3 linked regions of the Nothobranchius furzeri genome follow. The protein of the gene in region 2 interacts with the protein of the main gene of each other region in a biochemical or structural test. Links are inferred from orthologs where the notes say so. Each region holds a gene or a part of one and is shown on either strand. Other genes may lie near its edges. The genes, in order: rbbp8, siah2l and dlst.

Region 1 (4,175 bases), on a different chromosome or scaffold from region 2:
GCAGCAGGTGATAAAAGGTGTTTTTAAATAACTGACCGTAGAAGAGCAAGTTGTCGCGCTGCCGCGGAGACATCTCTGCATATCGGAAGTGTTTCACTTTATCACCATGTTTCCGTTTCTTCAGCTTGTTTGGGACAGGAAGTGAGCTTGGCAGGACTGGTGAGTCTGGGATGAATCCTTCCTCCTGCTCCGGGCTTCCTACCTCTGAAGTAGGGCTGCTTGATTAGGAAAATAATCATCATCACAATTATTTTGGTGGAATCTGAAATCGTTACCGACTGAGTTGGGAAACACTAAAGTGCAGCAGCTTACTGGTCATTCAAACTGATGAAGGGATAAATTATGAGACAAAAAACATTTCCTCTGAACTGCTTTAATGCTCATCACCACAGCCTTACGTCTGCTCTAGAATAAAACCCACGGACACACCAGCTAATTAAACTTAATCTACCTGAACAATCAGCCACATAAAAAAACAGGCAGCACTAGTATAAACAAGCCTGGAGGCCCAAACAAGGAGTATGTGAATATAAAATGGAACAGCCGAGCCTGGAATAGAACCGTGTAGAAAAACATAACCTCTCACCAGAGAGGCATACGCGAGGCTTATGAAGACTCATGTGCTGCAGGTGTGTTTTGCCCTCATTCTGCCATCTTATGTTGCTCTAACCTTTTAAGACCTTTGAGTAAAATGTGACAAAACAATTTTAATAGTGTTATGTTTTTATTACATTATTTTTGTAATTGGAGTTAACTAAAATACAAACTGAATTATTTATATACTTGTTTGCTCTCCACACCCTCTACAGAGCTAAACCAGGAACTGAAACGTCACTGCTGATGCAGAACAAGTCTCTGAGGCAAAGCTCCTCAGTGGAACACGGCACTTATTATAGTCAGCTTTCAAATTTAGAAGAGTTCATTTTTGTAAACCAGAAGTGAAACCTCTCCAGGAGAAACAGTGTCTATCTGAAAAGTTTTACGCAACACTGGCTGCAAAAAAAAAAAAAAGAAACTAAAATGTTAACATTTGTAATAATTTTGAAACAACAACAACCCAAAAATCTAATCAGACTTTTAAGAAGAACTTACTGAGCTGATTTTAACTGTTGCAGTTCATTCAACAGCTTTCTGTTTTCTTCCTCCAGTCTGTTTCTCTCATTTTCTGAAGGAAGACAAACCGTAAACACAATTCTCACAAAGCATGATTGTGCCCAAAAACATCTTAGCTTGTGCTGCCCTGGTCTGTGTGAAACACTCACATAAAAACAACTCTTTACTCTTTAACACCAAATAATCTAGAGCTCAGATTAATCACCGGAACAAACTCACTTAGTTTTGTGACAATATGAAGGTTCTGCTCCTGGTTGGATTTCAGCTTCTCCTCAAAAACAGCACACTGATCACGCTCTGCTGCTCGGAGTCTGGGGACAGTAAACGCCAAAACACTAATGATACACACACAGTTACTTATAATAAAGTACACAAAGATGCATGATTATAACTGGACGCTATAACAGAAGATTACAAATCAGCAGGTTCTGGGATTTTCTAGGGAATGTTCAAATATGTTTATGTTTATTTATTTAGCAGACGCTTTTATCCAAAGCGACTTACAATTTATAACCTACAGGGCATGTTGTGATCTGTGGGGGAAACTGGAGTACGCGGAGGAAACCCACGCATGCATGGGGAGAACACGCAACTCCACGCAGAAAGGCCGCAGCCGAGTTTCGAACCTGCGACCTTCGTGCTGCGAGGCAACAGTGCTAACCACTGCGCCGCCATGCAGCCCATAGTCCAATAGCTGATGGGAAGAAACTGATCTTGTGCCATGAGGTAATGGTTCTGGTGGACTGTTGTCTGTGATTACAGGGCAGCACATGAAAAGGTTATTTTCAGGGTATGAGGAGTCAAGGTGAATCTCTAGTGTGCCTCAAGTCCCTGGAGACCCACAGATCCTGGAGAGAGGCCAGATTGAAGCTGGTAATCTCTACAATACCTCTGCCACACATTTCTGGAAAATTCTTATTTTTCTAGTTTGCTTGGTTTGTAAATGATTCACTTGAGACAAATCCATACCAGTCCCAAGTACAATTAATGTTGTCAACATGATGATGATGACCCAAGTGTGTGTTTGAGTCATTTACCTTTCCTCCAGAAGACCGATCGTGTCCTGCAGAGTTTTATTTTGCTCCTTAAGCTGTTGGTTGCGATTATAGAACACCTCCAGCTTCTGTGCATCTCTGTATAATTAAAACAACTTAATGAAACAAAACAATAAAGTGAGGGAAAGCGTGCCCTACTAGTGAACAAAAGCTGATACTCACAAGCAGCGGTCCTTTTTTAACTTGCTTACTTTTGCCTCCAGTTCTACAAACAGTCACAATCACAAATAGTGTTGGCATGTGCGAAAACCACTAAAACACGCATCAACACGATTAGATTAGTTCAGTTACCTTGAACTGTGCTTTGATGACACTCTCCAAGCTGTTTCCATAGAACTTCAAACAGATCAGCATGTCTGACTGTCCCACTGCTGTCTCCCGGACTGCTCATCCTCCATAGATGATAACAGGCTAGACCGGAAATATCTTCATTAGAGGTGGAATTTACAACATTCAACAGCTGATAAGCTACAACACACAACATATAACTAGTTATTCACACTAAAACACAAACAACGTCCTGTGGCATCACACAGCTGTTACGTTGTCGCTAAAACTAAACAATGTTACGTAAACATACGTAACGCACAAAGAACACAAATACGTACACTAAATGCTTCAAAGAAAGTCTTAAAAGCAGACAAACTGATACATTTGAAAACCTACATAGTAATGCTGTTGTCGAAGATCAAAATTTGCGCGCCGAAATGCATGATGGGAATCCTTCTTCTTTTGACGTCATTCTCGTGTATGTGCGACTCTGTCGCCCCCTGCTGTTCAAGCCGAGTAAATGTACCCATTAAACGTGGAGGTACCAAGCCCCCACAATATTAATGTCGATGGGAGGTACTTATGCAATTTGCTGTAACATAAAACAGGTGGTTTTTTTATTCTTATTTCTGCTTTTATTTTTTAGAGTACAAAACATAACCCAAAATCACAAAATAACATTTACAAAACAGATTATTTAATTGAGGTGACTGAGGCAACATAGAGAAGCATGTCTGAAACAGTGATATTGGTGGGTTAGCTTTGAGGTAAGACAGCGAGCGATGTCAAAGGTTAAGAGACTTTAATTGTATTGACTTAGTGCCTTCATTAAGTAGTGCTATTCACAATTGAGTTTAATCATTCCAGTTCCTAATATATCAACATTTAGCAGTGATTTAATGATGTAGTGTATCAGATACACAAATACAAACTGACTAGTGACATCACGGTCTAAGACGCTAAGCATGTAGCACTGTATGGCACCATTTTGATGGTTTCTATCTTAAGACATTTCCTAATACATAAACAACACTGTTGTTGCTCATTCATTCTCATTAAAGCAGGTGCAAACAAATTTAAATATCGTTTTCTGCTTGTTACCATAACACTTCTGGCCAAAAATAAAACAATGGTTCCAACATTTATCTCAACCAAACTGAAGCTGCTTCGGACTATCAGGAGAAACAACTAAAAAACAAAAACACTCTTAATAATGCGACCAGAAATTAAACAGACTGATTTAAACTAAAACGCAGAATGGTTGTTGGTCGGAGACGCGAGCATAAAGCTCCGTCTTTTTCCTGAAATATAAAAAAGGTAAGACACAATGCAAACACTGCATCACTTAAAAAACAATAACAGTTATCTAAATGCAAAGCAAGGGAAAAGTTGAGTTTGACCTGCTCTTCGACATGCAGGTTTATTTTTGCATGAACAAACTTTTCTTCTTTCACATTGATGTCATGGTCACTGATGATTCAGCATTATAGATTATTACTCTTTTGTTCCTTTGGACGTGCGCCTTTTGTTGACTTTGCATCTGTCACAGCAGGTAGATCAAGCTAGCGTTAGTGCGAGTGTGTGTGTTTACATAAACACACATGCAGTCATCATCATTTACATATTTCCCCAGAATAACATAACAAATGACATTTCAAAACTATAAAACTAAAACAAAACTCCCTTTACATTTCAGAGTTTAAGCTATAAAACCTGCATGACAGTCCACAGAAGGTG
Region 2 (3,650 bases):
GTGTTTACGGATGAGTCACTGTTGGGATGGGGGGGAACGTGCTTGTTCCATACGGTGGCAGATCGCTGCCCCCCCCACACGCACGAGCACATAAATGTGTTGGAGCTTATGACAGTGAGGAATATGATCAGTCACTTCGCTGCCCTTCTCGAGGGCTGTCATGTCGAAGTTCACACAGACAACCAGGTGGCGGCAGCCTACATAAATCGCCACGGGTGGAGTTCGATCCCTCCCACTATTGCGTGTAGCCACAGATTTACTGTGTTGGTCACATGTCCACCTGCTGTCCATCAAAGCCACCTACATTCTGGGGGTCCTGAATGTAGCTGCAGACATCCTGTCGAGAGGGGGACCCCACGACTCCGACTGGCGTCTGCATCCCGCACTGATATCACAGATCTGGATCAGGTTTGGGGAACCATTGGTGGGTCTGTTCGCGGCTCGCGAAAATGCTCAGTGTCACCTGTGGTTTTCCCTGAGTCCCCGGAACCACCACCCGCTCGGAGCGGACGCCTTCTCACACCAGCCCTGGCCTCAAACACTCCTATATGCGTTTCCGCCAGTCCCACTGATTCCCCGTCTCCTGGACCGAGTTCGGTCGGAGCAGCTCTCTGTAATTCTGATGGCTCCCAGACGCTTGTCCGCGTCATGTTTTCCAGACCTGCAAGTGCTAGTGTCCGGCTCCCTGTGGAGGCTCCCGTGGAGGGCGGACTCCCTTCTCCAGGCGGATGGGATAATCAAACATCCTCCAGAAATAGGCCAACGGCTGTAGGTCTGGCCGCTGAGCGGTCACGCTTAGAGGCTTCTGGGCTGCCGCATGATGTGGTGGCCACGATTCAGAGTGCGCGGGCGCCCCCTACCGTCGCATCTTATGCTGCTAAATGGGCAGCTTTCCAGAACTGGTGCACGGAGCGAAATGTTCAAGCGCTCTCCTGCCAGCTGGCGGATGTCCTATTGTTTCTGCAGATACTGATGGACAGGGGCCTCACATTCAGCACTATTAAAACATATGCTGCATCTATCTCATCCTGTCACCAGGGTTTTGGAGATAGATCTGTTTTCAATCATCCCCTCACAAAGCATTTTCTAAAAGGTGTCAGAAGGAACAGACCTGTGTCCCGCCCACTATTTCCCCAGTGGGACCTAACGGTGGTTCTGCGTGGCTTATCTGAAGCCCCATTTGAACCCTTGGACCAGGTCTCACTCAAGTTCCTGTCACTCAAAACTGCCTTGCTGCTGGCGCTGGCATCAGTCAAGAGAGTGAGCGACCTAACCGCCCTCAGTGGCTCCCGCATGCCTCAGGATCCGGGAAGATGGCGGGTCTGCGGTTTTATGCCCCAACCCAGCCTTTGTGCCCAAAAACATTAATGCTTCCTTCAAATCCAGGTCAATTTCATTGGCTGGACTTTTTCCTCCTCCCCATAATTTTGATGAGGATGCGGCTTCCCACCTTCTCTGCCCGGTGCGCGCGCTCGCACGACATGTGTCACGCACTTCAGGGATTTGCTGCTCACAAAGCCTGTTTGTGCACTACAGAGATTCTTCCCTTGGGCAAGCGCTGTCGACCCAGCGTCTTTCACACTGGCTTTGTGACGCCATTTCACTCGCTTACACATCATCAGGGCGGGATCCTCCTGAGATTTCCTCTTCTATGGCGCTCCACAGTGGTGTGTCGATGGAAGACATTTGTCAGGCTGCTTCATGGGGTTCTCCCTGTTCCTTTACTCGTTATTACTCACGAGATGTGTCTTCAGGCTCCATCACTTGTTCAGTGCTTGGACCTCAGCAGGCTGAGTGAAGGCATTATGGCACCACATCAGCCCTACTTGAATGAATTTCATCCTCTTGTGGATGATAATTTTAGTGGGGCCCCACTCTTCTCTCTGGTTGCCTCAGGCTTTTAAGCCCTGGGCTGCGGCTGAGCGTCCCTCACTAAAAGGAGACATGTTGCGTGTGTCCATTGGTTGAGCTAACCAGTGTGGCGTAAACCAATCTAGCTGCGCATTATTCCAATAGCAGCTAGCTTAAGGGCTAAGACTAGACGAAATAGAGCGTTGGTTACGTATTGTAACCCCAGATTCTATGAGTCTAGTTGCAGCCCTTAAGCCACTGTACCCACTGGTTCTGTTAGGACTAAGAGCCATTGGAGGCGAACAGTGGAGTTGCTCCACTTATATACCCACAAGGGGTGCCCACCATTGGTGGGCGTACATTTAAGCTCTTCATGATTGGCTGATGCTGAGATCATCCTTCCAATAGCAGCTAGCTTAAGGGCTGCAACTAGACTAATAGAATCTGGGGTTACAATACGTAACCAAAGTTCAGGATTCTGAAATCCTGGTCAGAGGATTCACACACAGAATCATGAAGTCAGGGTCAGAGGTCCTGTCGGGGGCTGAGGGTTCTGACCTGTAGTGTGGTGATGGACTTGTGGGCGTGCATCAGGTGAGGCATGACGGCCTCCAGTGAGCCGTGCCACTTGCACGTTGCTCCGGGACACGGACAGGTGTAGGGTCTGAACTCACAAACCTCCTCATGGTCAGGTTTCTCGCTGTGGTGGAGCGACAGCTGGCAGCCGGCTGATGAATACTGCAGCAGGATGGAAAAGACGGAGCAGCTTCAGCAACACTCCAAGATAAAAACGTTCAGACTTCCTCCTGAGCTTCTATTTAACCTGAGATGTTCCGACTGCTGCTATAAAAATGAACTAACGTTAATTATTAGTTAGCCATGAACAGGGCTAGTTATTAAAACTCATAAACAGGAATAGTTTTTAGTTACTAAAAAACTAGACTATTATTAATTTCTCATTAATAAGACAAGTTATTAGTTAGCCATGAACATGAATAGTTTTTTGTGACTAATAAAGATGACTAATTATTAGTTACTCATAACTAGGGTTGTCACGGTAACCGGTGTAGCGGTAAACCCCGGTAAAAAAGTTGACAATAATAATAACCGTCTTGTTTAAATATATATATTATTCCCATTTTCTTGTAGTTTCTCAAGAAAAACTATTTTTTTGGACATTTTACTTTTCTGTTTCTGGTGCTGTGAAGCTTGGAGGATTTTTACTGCTATTTTTTCACTTTTTGAGCATTTGTTATTATGTGTAACCATGGCAACAAGCTGGTTTACAATCGGGAGCAGCGGATTATCATTGGAAAGGCTGAAATAATACCTCAACTGAAGCCACAAATCCCAAATGAGCTAAAACGCAAGAAGCGTGGGTGAAGAGCGGGAGCAAAACGGAGATAAAGAGGAAATTCAAACCATCTCTTCCATCGATCGTAATGGAAAATGTGAGATCACTGGCCAACAAGATGGATGAACTCCAAGCCCTTTCAAGGACTCAGCCAGAGTATCGGCAGTGCAGTGTTATGTGTTTCACTGAGACATGACTGCAGGACCATATACCCGATTCCAGCGTCTCTCTGCCAGGATTCCTGATGGTACGAGCAGACGGAGATCTGTAGAGGAGCAGGAAAAGAAAACGAGGTGGAGTGGCAGTGCTTTTCAACAACAGATGGTGCCATCCAGGTCATGTTTCAGTGAAATGTCGTCTCTGCAGCCCAGATGTTGAACACTAGGCAGTAAGTTGTCGCCCATATTATTTGCCAAGAGAGTTCACCAGTGTTGTCTTGGCAAAC
Region 3 (3,650 bases), on a different chromosome or scaffold from region 2:
CTAATTCCGTTAGCGGAGAAACCCTAGAACTTCAACAGGGTTAGAGACAGGAAAACAAACAATTAAAAAGAGAGATACAAGTGAAGAATGAGCAATACTGAAACAATTAGCAACCGTTTTTAATAGCTCTATTCCCCCACTATAGCTGTAGAGCCGTGATTTCATAGTTAACAAAAATATTTTTCTCAAGAGAATAATTTCAGCTCGTTGTTTCTTCCTGTTTAAAGCGTTTGAAAAGTGTTGATGGATTTCTGTGTTTTCCTGCTTTTATTCCTGCAGCAACATCACGGAGATGAGAAAGGTGTACAAGGATGCTTTCCTAAAAAAACACAACATCAAGCTGGGCTTCATGTCCGCATTCGTAAAGGCTGCTGCGTACGCTCTGACAGACCAACCTGCTGTCAATGCCGGTAAAGATTTTACCTCTGGAAACCTTCAACATGTTGGTGTTAGTTTTGGAACGTCTGCATGTGTGGCGTCAAGTCACGTCAAGTGTGTGTGTAGTGAAGAAAGTTTCAATGTATTATTTTTTAATTTCAGCAACCTCAAAGCCATCTCTAACTTATTTACTTCCTCTAGACCAGTGGTTCCTAACCTGGGGGTCCCCACCCCCACAAGGGGGCGCCAAAGCCTCTCAGTGGGTCGCCAGGGCCTCTCCACTTTAAGGGGTTAAAACGTCATTTATTACTTGTTTATAGCCCACATTTTGCTCACATTTTTTTTAATGAGTGAAAAGTTTACTGATATTAAGACAGGAAATAATTAGTACAGAAAAAGTAACACACTTTTAAGAACATTTTGCTCAGCTCACTGTTTTATTTTCAAGTGTCAAAAGTTCATTAAAGATAGGACTGGTTGATTAATCACAGCCTTTACAGTAAATAATCTAGTATAAACAGTATAGGGCTGCAGCTATCGAATATTTTTGTAATCGAGTACTCTATCGAATATTTTTTTCGATTAATCGAGTACTCTAATAAATTACCCTTTTGTATTTGTAAACCATTTTATCAAATAGCATGTTATAAAATATGAAAGACCTCTTAAAATGAGCAAGCTATTGCCAGTTATTCTTCAAGTTTTATTCAAAATTAGTTTTCAAAACTTCAGCACTTCAACTTTACTTCACAGTAAACAAATGGCTGTGCAAAAAATAAGTACACAACCTGAGCCGATTTTCCCCTCGTGCGAGAATCTGCTAGCCTGCAAGCCAGACAAAAACTAGGAGGATAACTGTTGAAGTAGCGCTGCGAGCGGCTGCGGCCCAAACAGAACCAGAACCGCTCACGGTGCATGCGCAAACAGCTCGCCGGCTGTTCCCTATTAACACACGTTCGTTTTAATTTCAACACTTTTTTCTCACACAATAACAAGGATTGTCGAGAAAGCGTGTTTGCCGTGGTTTTGTCAAATTATACTGATCACAAAACATTTATTTACTTTCTTTCGTTTTCCTCTCATAAATACCCATGTCCTCCTGCAGCAATCCCGAAGGACAACAAACATCAATAACACAATAAAAAGTCCGACGTTTTGTGTAAAAACTGCTATTTTTAGCACATTTTAAGTCCGACGTGTTGCTACCAGACGTACGGTGTGAGCTGAAACTGACTGCTACAAACGAAAAAGTCGCACAGTGTCCACAGAATATATAGAAAAACAGGCTAAAATGCATTATCTTGTAGAGGCTCCGAGTCCGCTTGCAGAAGAGACATTTACAGGTGCTGCAGCATGGAGGATGTGGTGTTGTGGTAGGCTTAATCCATTTTACAGTATTTACACTGGAGTACGTTTTCCGCCTAACGACGTGAAAAATGGTCCCACATCTTGACATTTTCTGTCTTTTTCGCACTCCACCGGGGTCCACGTTGTCCGCCATGGCTTAAGAGAAAGTTAAGTTACATTCGCTACTCGCGTGTGCAGTCCAGTGGGCATGTGCGTCACTTATTTCAGTCTGGGTGAAACATGACCACGGGCGACTGCAAAGCCACAAATTAATTAAATATGAATTAAACGAATCCTCGAGGCAGAGAATTTGACTCGAGGATTTTTTGTACTCGAATTATTCGAGGTACTCGAGGAATCGTTTCAGCCCTAAAACAGTAATATACACATTTAAGTACATTTTGCTCAGTGTATTTTTTATGTGTCAAACGTTTATTGGAAGAGAGAATGGGAGGGGGTCGTCAACAATTTTACTGGTAAAAAACGGGTCCCTTGGGAAAAAGGTTGGGAACCACTGCTCTAGACCACTCTGACCTATTTAGGTAGACCACAGTGAAGCTAGGGTGGTGCATGCTGATGCCTTTTAAAGATCTGAAATGCCCTGTGGGTTCACTTACCACAACTCTTAGCTTTGCATGTGACAGAAAGCGGTTCACAAGGAAAGAACTTGATCTTGCCAGAAATATAGTGGTGATTAATAGTCTAATCTGGAGAAGTTAAATCATAATAATCCTATTTTCTGTGTTTGTAGTGATTGATGATACAACCAAAGAGATTGTGTACAGGGACTATGTCGACATCAGTGTGGCTGTAGCTACACCGAAGGTAAGAAAAGTGGATTTCACTGAAAGGAAAAACAAAGAGCTAGAACGTTCGGCTATGTTCTCTTTTTCCAGGGTTTGGTGGTTCCCGTCATAAGAAATGTAGAGGGGATGAACTTTACTGACATCGAGAAAGCAATCAATTTGTTGGGAGAAAAGGTGATTATCGTATTAAAATTGTTTAAATTGTACACGTTTGCATGAAAAGTGATGAAATGTTTGCATAACTGGGTCTGGATGTTGTTTTTAGGCTCGTAAGAATGAGCTGGCTGTTGAAGACATGGACGGAGGCACCTTCACCATCAGCAACGGTGGTGTGTTTGGGTCCTTGTTCGGCACACCGATAATCAACCCTCCACAGTCTGCTATTCTGGGCATGCACGGGATCTTTGACAGACCGGTTGCAGTCGGAGGCAAGGTTTGTATCCTCTGGTCATTTGCTGAAACGTGTCTGCTTTTAAACAACTGTAGGTTTTACTCCATTATTTATGAGCAACCAGGCTACATTCTCAAGTAAACGGGGGGGGGTCACATTTAAATGTTGCATATGTTTACAAATTTAGCAAATAATTATTGGTCATTTTTCAGTGATTACTTTTCTTCCTCCTAGGTGGAGATCCGTCCCATGATGTATGTTGCGCTAACATACGACCACCGTCTGATCGATGGAAGAGAGGCTGTCACCTTCCTACGTAAGATCAAGTCGGTGGTGGAGGACCCCAGAGTGCTCCTCCTTGACATGTGAACCCTCGTCTGCTCCGGGCCCAACCAAACCACTTCCCACACCAACAGCGGCTGTGTAAACACTCAATGAACATTACCATAACTACAGTTGATGTATCGTCTTATTGGTTAACTAGGAAAATCTATTTCTGGCAACAGTTGGGTTGTGCAATGGACATTTGTAAGACTGGCAAGGATTAAAGGTTTGGTCCTGTTCTGGGTCTCTCTGAGGTTTCTGGTGCTGGTCGTTGGATCAAACAAGAAATTCTATAACTTATTTGCATTTGTCATTTTCTACGCGAAGCTTGAGAAAAGAAACACCTGTTGTGAGATGACACGCAATTAAAGTTTCAGCGATATAATTTTATGATTCTGGTTGAG

Evidence for each region.
Region 1: the proteins of siah2l (region 2) and rbbp8 form a complex in vitro, tested with the Homo sapiens proteins (2 studies listed by BioGRID). The link is inferred for Nothobranchius furzeri from reciprocal best matches to the Homo sapiens genes SIAH2 and RBBP8.
Region 3: the proteins of siah2l (region 2) and dlst form a complex in vitro, tested with the Homo sapiens proteins (2 studies listed by BioGRID, with this or other methods). The link is inferred for Nothobranchius furzeri from reciprocal best matches to the Homo sapiens genes SIAH2 and DLST.

The regions. Positions count from the first base shown.
Region 1 is NC_091747.1:41,226,986-41,231,160, forward strand, and holds the start of rbbp8 (DNA endonuclease RBBP8), read right to left. Parts: upstream 2,926-4,175; 5' UTR 2,835-2,925; exon of another isoform or gene 2,777-2,834; intron 2,580-2,776; 5' UTR 2,560-2,579; coding exon 2,460-2,559; intron 2,374-2,459; coding exon 2,331-2,373; intron 2,247-2,330; coding exon 2,151-2,246; intron 1,425-2,150; coding exon 1,333-1,424; intron 1,166-1,332; coding exon 1,093-1,165; intron 219-1,092; coding exon 37-218; intron 1-36. UniProt on the Homo sapiens protein: Endonuclease that cooperates with the MRE11-RAD50-NBN (MRN) complex in DNA-end resection, the first step of double-strand break (DSB) repair through the homologous recombination (HR) pathway.
Region 2 is NC_091750.1:26,755,845-26,759,494, reverse strand, and holds part of siah2l (E3 ubiquitin-protein ligase Siah2), read right to left. Parts: intron 2,590-3,650; coding exon 2,410-2,589; intron 1-2,409. UniProt on the Homo sapiens protein: E3 ubiquitin-protein ligase that mediates ubiquitination and subsequent proteasomal degradation of target proteins.
Region 3 is NC_091758.1:32,793,909-32,797,558, forward strand, and holds part of dlst (dihydrolipoyllysine-residue succinyltransferase component of 2-oxoglutarate dehydrogenase complex, mitochondrial), read left to right. Parts: intron 1-279; coding exon 280-410; intron 411-2,476; coding exon 2,477-2,550; intron 2,551-2,621; coding exon 2,622-2,705; intron 2,706-2,796; coding exon 2,797-2,964; intron 2,965-3,156; coding exon 3,157-3,291; 3' UTR 3,292-3,650. UniProt on the Homo sapiens protein: Dihydrolipoamide succinyltransferase (E2) component of the 2-oxoglutarate dehydrogenase complex. The 2-oxoglutarate dehydrogenase complex catalyzes the overall conversion of 2-oxoglutarate to succinyl-CoA and CO(2).